Lonchura striata: one gene and its partner. The protein of the gene in region 2 interacts with the protein of the main gene of each other region in a pairwise test. Links are inferred from orthologs where the notes say so. Each region holds a gene or a part of one and is shown on either strand. Other genes may lie near its edges.

Region 1 (7,230 bases), on a different chromosome or scaffold from region 2:
ATCCACATAAGTTTGGGTGAGACCCAGCACAGAAGTGCAGTGTATACAATGACACAAGCCTTTCCACTCTCCCAGAGCATGGAAAAGTCCCTGGAATAATGCTGATTACCTTCCTCACACAATACAGCTTTCATCAGGATTTCAGTCAAGTCTATAAACACTTCCACAAAGAACTTGTCACAGGTTTGTTCACTCTTCCAAGTTACACAGGACTACTCAGCTGCACTGTAGGCATGGGGATACACCAGGAAACACCTATGTTTATATACTTCAGGAGTCCCACAGTCTTCTCAGCAGATTTAGCAGAAATGTGGAAAGGTGTATTACAAAGGGAATTGTGTACTCAATCAAGAGTGTGTTTGATAGTAGTCCTGTGGCCAGGACAAACACAGGAGCTGGTACAGAAGAACATAAGTGGCTACAGGTGCTGTCAGCCTGGAACATTGCTCTTTCCCACCTTTCTCATACTCACACTGCAACTTTGGCAGAATGAAAACGGAACAAGACAGCAGTCAAAGATGTTGAAACTCAGTAAGATTTTGTAGCAACAAGTATTTCACAGCTATACCTTTAAAAAACACTGATCTGTTTTCTTTAGAAAAGAGAAGTTTACTCCTTGTGACTAAACTACAGAGCTGAATCACGATCTACTGTCCTCACTTGGTACGCTGGTGTTGGCTGGGGGTGTACAAGAAGCCAGGAGGGGACACTGCCAGAACAGCTGACCCCAGCTGACCATAGGGATATTCCAGACCATAAAGCATCATGCTCAGCAATAAAACCAGGAAGGTTTTTGGAGGGATGTGCTACTCAGGGACTGGCTGGGCATTCATTGGTTTGTTGCTGGCGAGCAACTGTTCTAATTTGCTTCACTTGCTGGATTGTATTTCCCTCTGCTACTCTCCTTTTCATTACAACTATTAAATTATTATTTTTCTTAATTATTTTATTTCAATTATGAGACAGTTCTTATCTCAACCCATGAGTTTTCTTACACCCATCCAGTTTCTTCAGGGGTGCATTGCGTGAGCAGCTGTGTGGTACTCAGTTGCCAGGTGGGGTTAAATACAAAACTACTTCAGCTGCTCAGATCTGCTTCACTGACAAGCAAGTTCTAAGAAACTGAAAGACACTCTTTCAGAGATTTCAAAATGATATAACTTCCAGCATGAACACTTCAAGTTTTGATATTTGCTTTATATTGCATGTTTATTTCTTACCACCAAATGGTTTTGAACAACCATTTCAAAGTAATCACTGTGCTTTTTCTGCACTTTCACTTTTTTTTTTTTTTTGTAGACAAACGTGAACAAGTCTTAGGTTCTTGCAGCACTTTGTAGCATCTCTTTTTTTTTTAAATTTCAAATCTGTAGCACAAATAACATGTACAAAATACTACAGTGAATGGTAAAAAAAATGTATTAACTCCTTCAAGTTATCTATCAAAACAAAAATTCCTAATAAACATCCAGATGACATCAGGACTACAAAAAAGGCCTCTTCAAAGTACCGCGTACTGCAGATGTAACCACAACTTCAGCTTTTAATTTCATTTTTCTCATGTCCCTTCTGCTTTAAATGCCAACACTGAAGAGCTATTTGAGCCACCACTTCATACAGCCAGTGCAAATGCACAAGTGTGTTTCACACTCCACATCTTGAAAATTAGGCTGGGGACAAGGGAAAAAGAAGGTAATAGCCCACCTCTCTGCTTGGTATGTAAAAATACAACCAACCAAAAACCCATCCAATAAGAACTGCTTACAATTACAACTATCCTAACGCAGTGTGGCCAAACAAATGTGTTGCTGCCCTTCCCTTAATCTCTTGCAAAATCTGACACAACTTAATTAAATTAAATTAAATTAAACAATTCCTACACAGTCCTCTTCACTAGAAATCCCAAACAACCTTCCAACACCACGGGTGGTTTAGAGGGTTCCCTGCACATCAGAGTCTAAGACAGATACTGGTCAGCAACACTGAGAATGAAATACAGGTTGAAGGCTATTAACAACCCAGCAGGATATACAGGTTTATCAGAGCACTCGGATTTTTGCAGTGCAAAGCCCTAACACAGCACCTTCTTGGACCACCACTTCGTCTGAACTCTGGACAACTTCCTAGTTTACCAACTTGCTGAGAAATACTATCTCAAAGTTGTTTACATTTCCCAGGCATTTGTGAGAGAATAAAATCCAGTAATCACAACAAAAAAGACTCTGACATATTATTATTTCAGGAAGAACCAATGGCATTGTGGTCACATTGAATTTTGTACTGTCATAGTACAAATAGAATCCGCACGGTGTGTTCCGGCGGCAGAAGCGATTTCAGAGGTTAGAGTGCTACTTCTATCAAGTAATCAATAGTTTTGGAATAATCCTGTGAGTGGCTTAATCCTGTGAGTAACCCGCTCCTCGGGGCAGGGCAGGGCCGGTCTGAGAGGAGCTGCTGCCGCGAGGATCCCGAGAGCATTCCCAAAAGAAAGGGGCCACCTTCCGCCTGCCACACTCGGGAAAGCGAAACTCCGGCCTCGCTCGGCCCCCGCCCGCATCGCCGAGGGCGGGAGTCGCCCAGGGCCTCTCCCGGACCGTCCCGGGACCGAGACCGGGACCGTGCCGCTCGGGACGCCGCTGGCCCGCGAAGCCCCAACCTGCCCGCGGTGCCCCGGGGGCTCCTGCGGGGCGGGACCAGCCCAGAGCCGCGGCTTCTCCCCGTCCCCGCCGCCGGGCCGGAGCACTGGGAGCGGCGCGGAGGGCAGCGCCGGCGCGCAGGAGCGGCCCCGGCGGCGGAGCAAAGCCCCCCCCGCCGCGTTCTGCCCTGCCCGCGGCACCGCCAGGCTCCGGGCTCCCTTACCGTGCCGAGCCGTGCTCGCCAGCCCTCCTCGCCTCCGCTCGCCCGGGTGCAGCCACCGTCAGCACGGATTGTCCCGTCCCGTCCCGTCCCCACCCGCCTTTCCTCCTCCCCTTCCCCTTAGAGCCGCGAGCAGGCGCCGCGGGCGTTGCCCCGGCCGGGCCTTGCCCCGACTCCCTCCCCTGAGCCATCGGCTCCCGGCAGCGTGAAGGGAAGGGAAGGGAAGAGAAGGGAAGGGAAGGGAAGGGAAGGGAAGGGAAGGGAAGGGAAGGGAAGGGAAGGGAAGGGAAGGGAAGGGAAGGGAGCCTGTGGAAGTACAGGCACTCCTGGCGCATTTCGCAGTCACGGCGATCGGCAAACTTTAGCAGGGCCTATCGCAACAGGAAAAGATATGATGATTTTAAAGTGAAGGAGGGGGTTGATTTAGATTATATTAGGAGGCTTTTATAATGTGGGTGGTAAACTATTGTCACAGTTTGCCAAGAGATGTGGTGGATGCCCCTAGAAACATTCAAGGCTGGGTTGGGCAGAGCTCTGAGCAACCTGGTCTACTGAAGGGTGTCTCTGCTCATTGTAGGGGCCTTGGACTAAATGATATTTAAAGATCCCTTCCAACCCACACTGTTCTGTGATTCTGTGATGATGATGTTGATGGGAGTAAAGATGGTTAAGCAAAGGTCAGATGGCCTTTACTGCTGCCTCATCTGAGTGGAGGAGGAAGCAATACTAAAGTATCGTGCTTCTGTTCTTCCTTTGATTCAACCATTAATCCTAACTCAGCCTGACCAACAGTAACTGAAACCCTCATTATCCCTCATTTACCTAGGAAACAGACACCAGCATGCAACTGAGAAAGTGCCTTCGTCCCCATTATCTAAGATGAAAGCAACAGGTAACCAATTGTATTTGATAACAGTCTCGCCTCCATTTATCTGAAAATACAAAATTGATATTTGGAATCCACCACGTAGAGGATGAGAATATTCCCCATAGCTCCCCATTTCATAAACAAGTGGATGGTTTTGCTCCTCTCTCCTCCCCAAAGGAGAGATCCCTCTTTAGTAAATTTCATGTCTCTGTGTCAGACCATACTTGGGTGAAACTAAGCTTAATTAACTGTGAAGTTAAGTGTAATGAAAAACTGAATTTTTCATTTAGCTTGAAGCAAACTTAATTAACTATTGGCTGGTGCTAATGCAGTAACAGCATTTTTCAACAGCAATTCCAAATTTGTATTCCTGTTGCTTCAATAAGTAGCACTATTTGTGAATCTGTGCCAAATTTCATAGTCTAATGGAATAGAGCTGCAGCCCAACCAACTACCTGGGTTAGGCCCAGGAAGCCCATGCAGCTTCCCCAAAGCTGTGTTGGCACCCACAGAAGTTCCCTCCCTGCAGCAGACTGGGTGACTGGGGGGGGACATGGCCAGTGCCAGCTCAAGGTGTAGATGAGGAAATGTGGCTAGAAACTGATACAGCTTTTTATCTCCCCTCCCCCTGCTTCCCCATGAGCTGTGTACCTGAAGATTATAAACATAACTAGTTTTAAAAAAATCGTAAGAAAAAAGGGCCCCATGGCAGTTTCAGAAGCCTGACACACAAATGCAGCAGGATGGATCCACAAGAGTTCTGCTCCATCCTCAGTTCCCATGGCACGGTGTGATCAGCAGCCTCACCTGCTCTAGTCGCTGTTCAGCTTCTCTTTGCTGCGTTGAGCCATCACCAGGGCTGCTAACAGCACCATGGAAATGTATAAAGAATATAGTGGATGTTTTGTCATCGCACTGATTGGACACATGCTATTGCAGAACACCAGCAGATGTCAGTTTAGCCCCAAAAATAATTGCGTGCTGGATTTACTAGCTTTTGCTTTTACAGCAGTAGGTTTCTGTAAAAGAAGCTAAATGATGTTTAAAAGTTGATGTACATTTAAAAGCCTTTTAGCCATATCTTACATGCTGTAGTATGTTCTCAATAACGTGTAAAATAAGTAAACCTTCATCTCACCTTAAATTTCTCCTGCCTAAAAATCACAGGACTTGCACACATACAAATAAATATCTTTTTATAAATGTATATAATGTTGCATATACTGATTTGTTGAAGCTAGATAAGGGAATGACTATGACTATATATTTCTATGACTATATACTTACAGAGTTGTACCAGAATGCAGTTTCAGAGCAATGATCAATGTACAAAGACAGATTTAAAGAGAAGCAAGGTAGATACATTAAACCAAATAATCTGATAGCATAATTGTTTTTTCTTAACTGCTGAAATGCTAAGCAAACAGAACAAAAACTCCAACACAATTTCAATAGTTAGTACAATGATACAAGTGTTGAAATTCCCATGAGAAGCCTCAAAGATGACAACAGGATCCCACACTTCAGTGTAATTTATCATGTTAAACAGAAGTAGTATATATCTAGTCTAAAATTGGAAATGATTCCCCAGAAAAGCAATTGATTAACAGAATTGTGAAATTAATCCAAACCTAAATATTAGTACTTTGTTGTCCTTCTAGTACTGCTTCCTTCTTAATTACCAACTCCTGTAGTGTTATTTGATCATCATAACTGATAACAGCTGCCAGACTGCAAAACACAGTACAGCAAAATATTTAAGCATGCAAATCATATTATCTTCCCTAGAGAGTGAGACAGAAGTGTGGTGTCAAAAGAGGTAATGATAGATTTCTTTTTCTCAGAACACTTGGCACTTCATGTAAAGGATTATGAGAAGAACAACCACTCACTGCCAGTAATGGTTCTCCTAGTATGAACAACTAGAAAGAAACGGTTATGATAGAAAAGTTTTACCTTTAAAAACAGCAGGTCTGTCTTGATAAAGTCATCCATTATTTGATAGATTGATTATCTATTAATGCCATGACAAAACAGAGAGGAAAATTATGATTCTCCAAACATTTACCCTTCAAATTCATCTTCCTACTCCCTTGACAGGGTACAGGAAGGATATGATTTTAAAAATAAAGCTGCCTGATTATTTTTCCTGTAGTCAGAACTGAAACATGATTTCCACTGCTCTGATGTCATTGCTGAATGAAATGGTACAAAAATCCTTTCTTCATGCCCTTCCTCCAGAATAATGCCTGACCTGCTGTTTGGCCAAGCTCTGGTATAATATTGGCAAAAATCAGCCTTGCCAGCTCGTATATCTGACACTGAAATCACTGATCTAAATCTTACAGTGAAGCTTCCTGCTACTTTGATTGAGGCAGCAGCCAGAAATGTTTTCATGAAGTGCTTTGATCCAACTCTGTGGATCTAAAGTGAGTAAGGAATGACACAGTATTCTCTGTGCTTAATTCTAATATTCACACAGCTGTCATCTGGACACCAGGATTATTGTGATTTCATTGGGATATAGGCAATAAATACAGAAATATGTATAAAGATTGAGATCATATTACTAAAAATTCATAGTTGTCCAATAAGACTTTCCTTCAGGCCTCAAATACCTCCTTCTCTTAAAGTCTGTTTCTAGCATCACTCACACATTATATTAAGCTATATTCCAATAAGCATTTATTTTCTAATGCTTCTCTCACTTTATGAGTTACCAATATTGAATTATATAATAGTCTATAATTTCTAGGTTTTTTTTCTTAGGTTACTTGATTTAAGGATATCTTTGACATCATGTTTAGCATTTCAGCTCCCCACCTCTGGTAGGACTGCCTTCATTGAAGCCACTTCAGTGAATCTCTCAAGTCTCAGGTCCAAAGGGGTCAGTTCCTGTTTCAGGAACTCAGACATTATATGCCATATCTTGTCACTTGGTACTGGCTGTCTGTAGGAAGCAGCAAGCCAGGAAGCATATCATCTGGGCACAAATGTCATAGCTACAGAGCTAAAACACAACAGCAATGTGAGCATTAACAGCCATTTACCAAACAGATGACTAATCATGGTGAAATGCAATCTCATCCGCCATTGCTACACAGTAAGAAAACACTTCCCCAGATCTTGTGCAGCCTCGAGTGGCTTGTTACACTGGATGCCAAATATTTAGGACACTCCTTGTTTGAAATGAAACCTTTTGTCTTTTCAGACCGATCCTTTATGATAAACAAAGCAATCAGTAAACAATTGAACATGCTTACAAAGATTGGTAAAAAAGATGAGTGAACTAGAAAGCCTCAGGTAGGCTGGTGAGAGCTGGCTGATCTGCTGGGTGCAGAGATTCTGCAAGTCTTGATTGCATGCACAGCTCTTCTTGAATTTGCCCTGCAGCAAAATCATGTGGTCTGTGACACAATCACAACAGAATCTGTGGTTTAAAAATAAACTGCTTCTCTGCAAATTTATGGCTTGGTTTAGTCCAGCTTATAAATAAGTGTCCAGCA
Region 2 (7,304 bases):
TGAAAATTCATCCCTTATTTCTCACTGAAACAACATGAGATTTTTCCCTCTTTCTCATGAAGGGCTCCCCAAGCCATCCTTATGCTGCCATGATTTCTTATATGTAACAGAAACAAACATGCAGAAGAATACCCATCCTTCACGTCAGTAAAAAACAAAAAAAAAAAAAAGGCCAGACTGAGTGGGAAATAACCGAGAGCCATCTGAATTCACAAATGCACCTAAAATACAGAGTTAAATGCAAAATCAAGGTCTGGTTTCGTTGCTTTAAAAAGGCTTTGACATGGGTTACAATTTCAAAGGAGCCACTTCAACTTTTACCCGATTATGTATCTGGCACAGATTACTGCAGCCAGCATGGCTACACTGATGTTAAGCCCAGGGTAAGTGAGAAGGCCAAGATCAAGCACTCGGGAACAACAGGACTTTGTTATGACACTGTCTCAGCCATATTCTTACCTAGATAGAAAAGCTCAGTTAGCCCTAGATCTGTGCTCCAGTCATTGTCCACTTAGTGTGCAATACCACATTTCATTGCCTAATCTTTTCTGAAAGGGAACAAAAATTCACAGACAGAATATTGGTGGATTTACTGCAAGACCACCTCAAAGGTGGTCAAAAATTTTCTAGTTTCACTGTCATATTTCAGTGAAAGCAATGCAGTGATGAAGTCAGCACAAGTTTGACCTTCGTATAATCATTCTTGAAAAGGTGCATGAAGTCTGACACATGCAGTCAGCTTTTGTCATTCTCAGATCACTTCTAGAAACCCCAAGTTCTCATTTGAGCTAGGCTGAGAATAATGAAGGAAATCAGAAAGCTCTACCCATCAAATCTGGTTTTTGCTTTCATCTGTGGTTATGTCCTTCCTATCTGTTTAGGTATTAACAGAAGTCTGGCATCTTCAAAAATCCTTGTTGGATTTGGAAGTCAATGTCAATGGGTAATTTGCTTTCATTGCCATTGCCCAGCTAAGAGAATATTTAGAAAAGGACGTATTTCCCTTGGGCCTGATTCTAAGATTCTTTTGCTAACTAGTACCTGTCCTTGTGGAATACACTGGTACTCAACAAACTGATGATTTCAGCAGCTGTCCATGAATTCCAGCAGACACATTTAACTCGAGGCTCTGATAAATGCCCATGTGAGAGCAGTTACACACAACTTCTACCACCATAAACTGGAAGACTTTTTTTAGCTAGGAACTCCCAAAAAACAACAGCTCATCTCTGGAGGCATTTCCCTGTCTCACAGTGAACAAACCCAAAGCACACGTTCCAGCTTGCAGCCAGGAGTAACAGATTTTCCTGTTTGGAAAAGAGTGTGTCCCACAAAAGCTGTTCAAAAGCAAATACAGCTTTTTCTACCTGTGACAGCCCTTGCCATAGAAGAGGCACTTCTCATCACCACAGATTTCACACGAGATAGGGGTGAAAATTTGTTTTGTTTCAGGCACCCACTCAAGCAGAGGGCTGATCCACCAGACAGCTTCCAACTCTCTTCACACCATTATTGAAAGCAGCTTGAATTTGACTATTCTGTTAAATAGGTTAGTCTCAAGTGGTATTCCTGGAACAAAACCCTTTCAGGAAACAGCACACTTTTCTTTTCAAGTACGTTCTATGGCTATAAAAACCACACCATCTTTATTTTTACTACCACAACAGCGAGTGTTAGCAGGTGCCTCCATAAAGGAGAGAAAGCACTTTTTCCTATGCTACTCTCAATATTCTTACTTTCAAATTCCATTTTTCTAAGACCTTTGTGTATTATTACTATAATTTATTTATAGACCAAACGAACTAGCACTTAGAGAGCTGCAAAGGGGGTTAATTTGTGATAGAGAAACACATCCCTTCCTTGCCGAGGCCAGCTGCTCTCGCACCGAGCTTTCAGTCACGGCCCGCGCTCGCGAACCGGGCAATTACTATTTTAAGAAACGGCAAGTTCATAAAATAATTAACACTCCTTGAGCGCGTCGCTCCTCTCGTTGTAGGGGAGAAAAACTCAACAGAGATCCGGAGCAGCCGCATGCCGCATCCAGCGGCCCCTTCCCCGCTGCTGCGGGGACACAGAGCCCGACCCCGGGGCTCCCCCCGGGGCTCCGGTGCAGCCCCGCGGAGCTCCGCGCCCGGGACGTGCCCGAGCCCCCGGCCGGCAGCGCGGCGGAGCGGTCAGCCCGCGGTTACGCGATGCTCCGCGCGGAGAAGAGCGCCGAGACCCCGGGGAATCGCTTTCCCACCAGGCAAATCCCACCAGGCTCAAGTTTCCAGCGCTTTCTGCCCCCAGCCGCCGCGCTGTTGGGCCGAGGGCTGTATTCCGCCAAGGAACGGGCTGTATTCCCCAAAAGCCGCGGAACCTGACCCGAAAGGGTCACTCCGCAGGGCCCCGGCCGCTCTCCCCTCCGCGCCTCTCCTTCCATGGACATATTTGGACTGAGATGCGGCTTTTCCCCGAGCGTGCTTCGGAACAAAACCGGAGCGGCAGCTGCCGGCAGTTTGGGACCAGGGAAAAGAAAACGGGAAAAGAAAAAATAAGTTGGAGCCCGAGCCGGATCTCTCATTTTTTTTAAAGGCATCCAGCGTTCGGGCAGTTCACAGCTGAAAAATAAATCAGCTTCGCCTCTCCCCGGGAGGCCGGGCGGACTTAACCAACTTTAAATAAACATTACAGGGCCGAGGTATCGAATGATTGAATGCACAAAAAAGGGACTGCAGTGCGTCAGAGCCAAAAGGCAGCTCCCGCCCTCCCCGCACGGCCCCGACCCCCCTCGCCCCGCGGGACCCCGGCCCGGCCACCCCCGCCCGCCCCACCTGCGGCGCCGCCCGCAGGCGCGGGTCGCTCCAGGTCGTGGTGCGGCTGTTGTGATCCACGAAGAAGGGCCAGCCGGTCTGCGGGTCGATCTTGATCTCCCAGCCGGGGGGCAGCGGCTCGGCGCTGCCCTCCATCTGCGGCGGCGGCGGGCTCTGCGCGGCGGCGCTCATGGCGGGGCAGAGCGCGGGCCGCGCCGGCCGCTTTATCCGCCGCGGGCCGGGGGGCGGGGGCGCGGGGCTGGAACTGTCTGGAAACGGCGGCGGGGGCGGGACGAGGGGCGGGACGCGGAGGAGGAGGAGGAGGGCGGGGGACGGCGGAGGAGCCGCCGGCTGGAAACTTCTGGCTGTGTCCAGCGCGGCTCGGCAGCCCCCCGGGGCAGCGGGGAGGGCTGGCTGGGAACGCCCCGGGGCGGCGTGGCCGGCTCTGCTCGCCGCCGGCGCCGCGCGGTGAGCGCCCAGCCCGGCTGCGCTCCCGCTCCGGCCGGTCCCTGCCGCGCCCCGAGCCGTCCTTGGGCAGCCCGCAGCCCGCCGGCGCTCTGGCAAGGCAGCTCCGACCTACTGCCCCGTGCTCTGAGCGAAAGATCAACGCTCCTCCCCAAAACGCCCTGCCCCGTGACTGATAATTCGGGGTTATGGCAGATAAACAACAAAAATAATGCTTCTTAAGTGAGGGTGTGGGCAAGCGTTGTTCTTCGGATTCAACTGGCTTGAACTTTCTCAGCACTTTGCAAATGCGTGTCTCAGTTCTCAGTTTCCCGTAGAAATACACCTGAAGGCAAAGAGTGTGTCTGTGAGGTTTAAAACTGGCTCTCTGATGGGTGCTCTATCAGCAGGTCATGCACTCAGTGGGTTTGGTTGGAGGTAACTGTGCTTCTCAACTGCACCACTTCAGTCATCTGACAGTCACAGGAGCAGCCGCAGATGCCTGTTGATAGTCACTCTAAGTAGAAGAGTGAATGCACAGTGTCCCTCAAACGCAGAAGTTACCTTCTGCAAAACTTTGCTTCGAGGAATTCTAAGTATGGATCCCTTGGAGGCAGATGCTTATTACTGAAGTATCTCTTACTTCAAGAAGACCCCTGGCTCTTCACGCCCCTGAGCACAGCCAGGATCTCCTTCTGCTCAAGGCAGGATCAAAGATCTCCTGATACTGCTTGCCACTGATGGTCATTCATTTTTTGACAGGAGGTTTTGTTTATCACACTGACAAACCAAGTAGTTGCTGACACTTGCTCCTTCACTCCTGCAGCTCTTCCATCCTGCGTGTCCCTTGCTGTCAGGACCGCACTGCTCCATCACAGACCCATTTTTCTGTCCCCACTGTTGTGTGCCTTTGACTCCTAAGTATTATAAATGGATAATTTTTTTCCCGGAGCATTTACTTGCAGATGTCTGTATTGCCATCACCTTTCCTGACTTACCTATTTTCTAAGCAACAAAGCCCAAACTTTGCTGATCTCAAAGTCCTGAACTGGTGCCTGTCCCTGGCCATGTTTTCTACCTCTGCTGCCTCTTATGCTGTCTGGTATAAAACCTCTGCTCAGCCTCAGCAATGTCAGCAGTAGCCTCAAATGGAGTAATATCAGCGATTTATTCTGCTTCCAATGTGCAGAGGAATTTCACTCCCGGTTTTGCAACAAAAAGGCACACTTAGACCATATGTTCCCTGTAGCATATGCCAGAGTCTCTTCCAAATCAACAAAAGCAGCTGATTCAGACACAGGGGACACAGATGTTAAAAAGGTCCTGCAGGAAAATTACTTTTGTAAGTTGAGGAAGTGATACAGATGGGGTTTGTAGCTGAGGGAATGTAAACAAAGGCACGAAGAATGGGGGGGGTCTTTTATTTTGCTGCAGCTGGCAGCCAACCATATACTCAGCAGAGCTAATGAATACGGTCAGCAAGTAGATGAAAAATTAATTAAAGGAAATTTCAAAGGGATATCTAACTTAAGTTGGACATTTTTGTGGGGGCATACCCTACGAAGAAACAAAGAAACTAGCCCATGATAATTTCACAGAAATTATCATGGGCTAGTGATTCAAAATTCATTCGAGCTGCTGCAGGGTCGACAAGCATCCAGCTGGAAACAGAACAGTCTGGGCTGACAGGGAAAAGCCTTTTAGTGATTGAATTTAGTTGGCAAGACATCACACTTTTTCTGTTAATGAAATTGTCTTTCCTGACAGGTAGGATTTAGCCTGGTTTCCTGTGCAGGTGAAAGCACTGCCAGTGAGGCAGGTTACACAGGATATCTACACAGGGACTCACTGTTTGCTCTCTGGTGATGGGGTGTCACTGGGCCATAGCTGTGACCCTGAGGCAATGTGGCTTCTAGTTCATGTTGTCATTAGCCATCCTTCAGATCAGAATGATTTATGAAAATGTCCATGTAGGAAATACTGCCAAGCAAAAATCTTGGCTTCAGGAAAATCTGTTATTAAGATAAGTGAGTCTCTGTAGTGTCTGGCTAATCTCAGATGAGACTCCAGGCTCAAGGTCTTTGTGCTCTATTTCAGAAGGGAAAATGCTCAAGAGGCATTTTCTACTTTTTGTGTTCTTCATGTAAGTGCAAACACAGCACTCCTGACTTATCCAGGTTCCTATCTGCACAGCGCTTCACACACCCAGGAGTACCAAACTAAACATTTGCTCCAGGGCCTTCCACTACAACTAGAAACCATGTACTTGTAGTTACCCAGAGTGGGTTTACTCTACAGGGTCACCCACGTTTCTCTGACTTGAACACGGGCTGCAGAGCTCCCTCCCAGCTGCACAGCAGCTCTAGCTCAGGTTGTACAGGGCAGCACTGTTGCAATAGAATTGTTATTCACTGCATTAATCAAGCAGATCTCTCTGGTGTGTCAGGAAACAACACTTCTTGCAGTGAGATCCAGATCAGCTTTCTACCTCCTGAGTACCTGCAGCACTTTCACAGGTCACCTGAGCAGGAAAGGCTCTGTTAAGCAGCACTGGGAGTTCAGGTGTTTGTTCTGGGTGAGCATTGCAGAGAGCTGGCATTGATGAACCTGGGTGAGTGACGTGCCTGGCACGTGTCGAGCGCTGTGCTGTGAAGCAGGCTCCAGTCCAAGTCCTCTGCTGGGTGCATTTGAGTCATATAAACACTCCTAATAAATGCAACAAGCACAGACTTTCTCAATCCTCAGATTCAAGAGACATGATGAATTTGACCTGCATGATTTCCATCTCTTGATGTTTTATGCAGAGTATCACTGAGTAGCCCAGGTCTTCACTGATTATATTTTGAATATCCAGGTGTATGAATAGCTCCAGGTGCATGAACTTTTTAAGCTACAAGCAAACAGGTCCCACTTATGACTTGATGTAACCAGAGCTGTACAGATGTTTGGCTTCATGGTTTGTTCGCAATCATGGAACTGTTTGTTGGGCCACTGAAACAATTGGGGCCTGCCTTTGAGAAAATTAAAGATGCAAAGTGATTGCTAATCTTTTACTAATCTGCCACTTCTGCTACAGACCACTTCAGATTTGATCTCTAGTATTTGGTACACAATTTAGTGTAACTGGTGGTGAAGTGGAGAACAGAAGTAGGTGAATGAAGCCATCCACAAATGGTCTGATCTCACTCTGACTGCTGCATGGTGCTGACATTGCTTGGCTCTTAGAGCTTGATCATGCCATCTGCTTGTTGGAGTCACAGTAACTGGCAAGTCATTTGATAGATAAATATATTTCCTATGAACTTTAATAGAAAATTCAAAGTATAAATAAGAAATTAGAGTGCTAATTGTACTGTTTAAATGGAGAAAAGCTTTTTAAATGTACGTGTTGGAATCACACTGCAACTACACTAAAGCTCTGCATTCCCAAAGCACGTACTCTGATTTCAAATTTTCAGATTTTTTGAAAAATACTGCAGGAGCTAATCCCAGCACAATTTTTACTTTCTTTTCCCTCTTTATTTCCACCTGGAATGAATTTGTCATAAACCAGGGAGCAAATCTGGCTGTGAACACTGCAAAACCAGCTTTAATTTCTGTGACCTGTATGCAACAAAAGCAAAATTCAATTCCAAGCATAGGCAGCATAAGACAACTTGAATGTTTAGAGCTACTCATTCTCTTAATATGTCATGATATGGCACATGCCAAGTGAATTAATGTTTCCAAAATAGGCATTATTGGGCTGCTCATTCTCTGTTCTTCCAGTGTCTGTCAGATAGAAGCCTAAGGAGGCAGCTCTTTGGTTTAGGAGTGTCTGGGTCTAACCAGGGAACAGAACTTTGTCTTCCTTGGACATCAGGAGGATGAAGGAGAGTCGGTCTGAGCCGGTGCTTTAATTGCCACGGTGGCCAGCACCCATTAGAATTGAGAGGCTCCCACCTAGTGGATAATCTGCCCTGCTGTACTCCGGGCTGCCACGGTCCAAATGTGCTTGGGAACATCTGAGTCATTTTTCCAAAGTTTACTGGCAAATCTTGGTCCAAAACAGTATCATTTCCAGACCTG

Evidence for each region.
Region 1: the proteins of BAG3 (region 2) and LITAF interact in binary tests that used the Homo sapiens proteins (3 or more experiments, as listed by UniProt). The two-hybrid records come from large-scale screens. The link is inferred for Lonchura striata from reciprocal best matches to the Homo sapiens genes BAG3 and LITAF.

Annotation. Positions count from the first base shown.
Region 1 is NC_134618.1:7,967,137-7,974,366, forward strand, and holds the start of LITAF (lipopolysaccharide-induced tumor necrosis factor-alpha factor), read right to left. Parts: upstream 3,019-7,230; 5' UTR 2,860-3,018; intron 1-2,859.
Region 2 is NC_134609.1:27,403,539-27,410,842, reverse strand, and holds the start of BAG3 (BAG family molecular chaperone regulator 3), read right to left. Parts: upstream 3,020-7,304; 5' UTR 2,985-3,019; coding exon 2,814-2,984; intron 1-2,813. UniProt on the Homo sapiens protein: Co-chaperone and adapter protein that connects different classes of molecular chaperones including heat shock proteins 70 (HSP70s), e.g. HSPA1A/HSP70 or HSPA8/HSC70, and small heat shock proteins (sHSPs), e.g. HSPB8.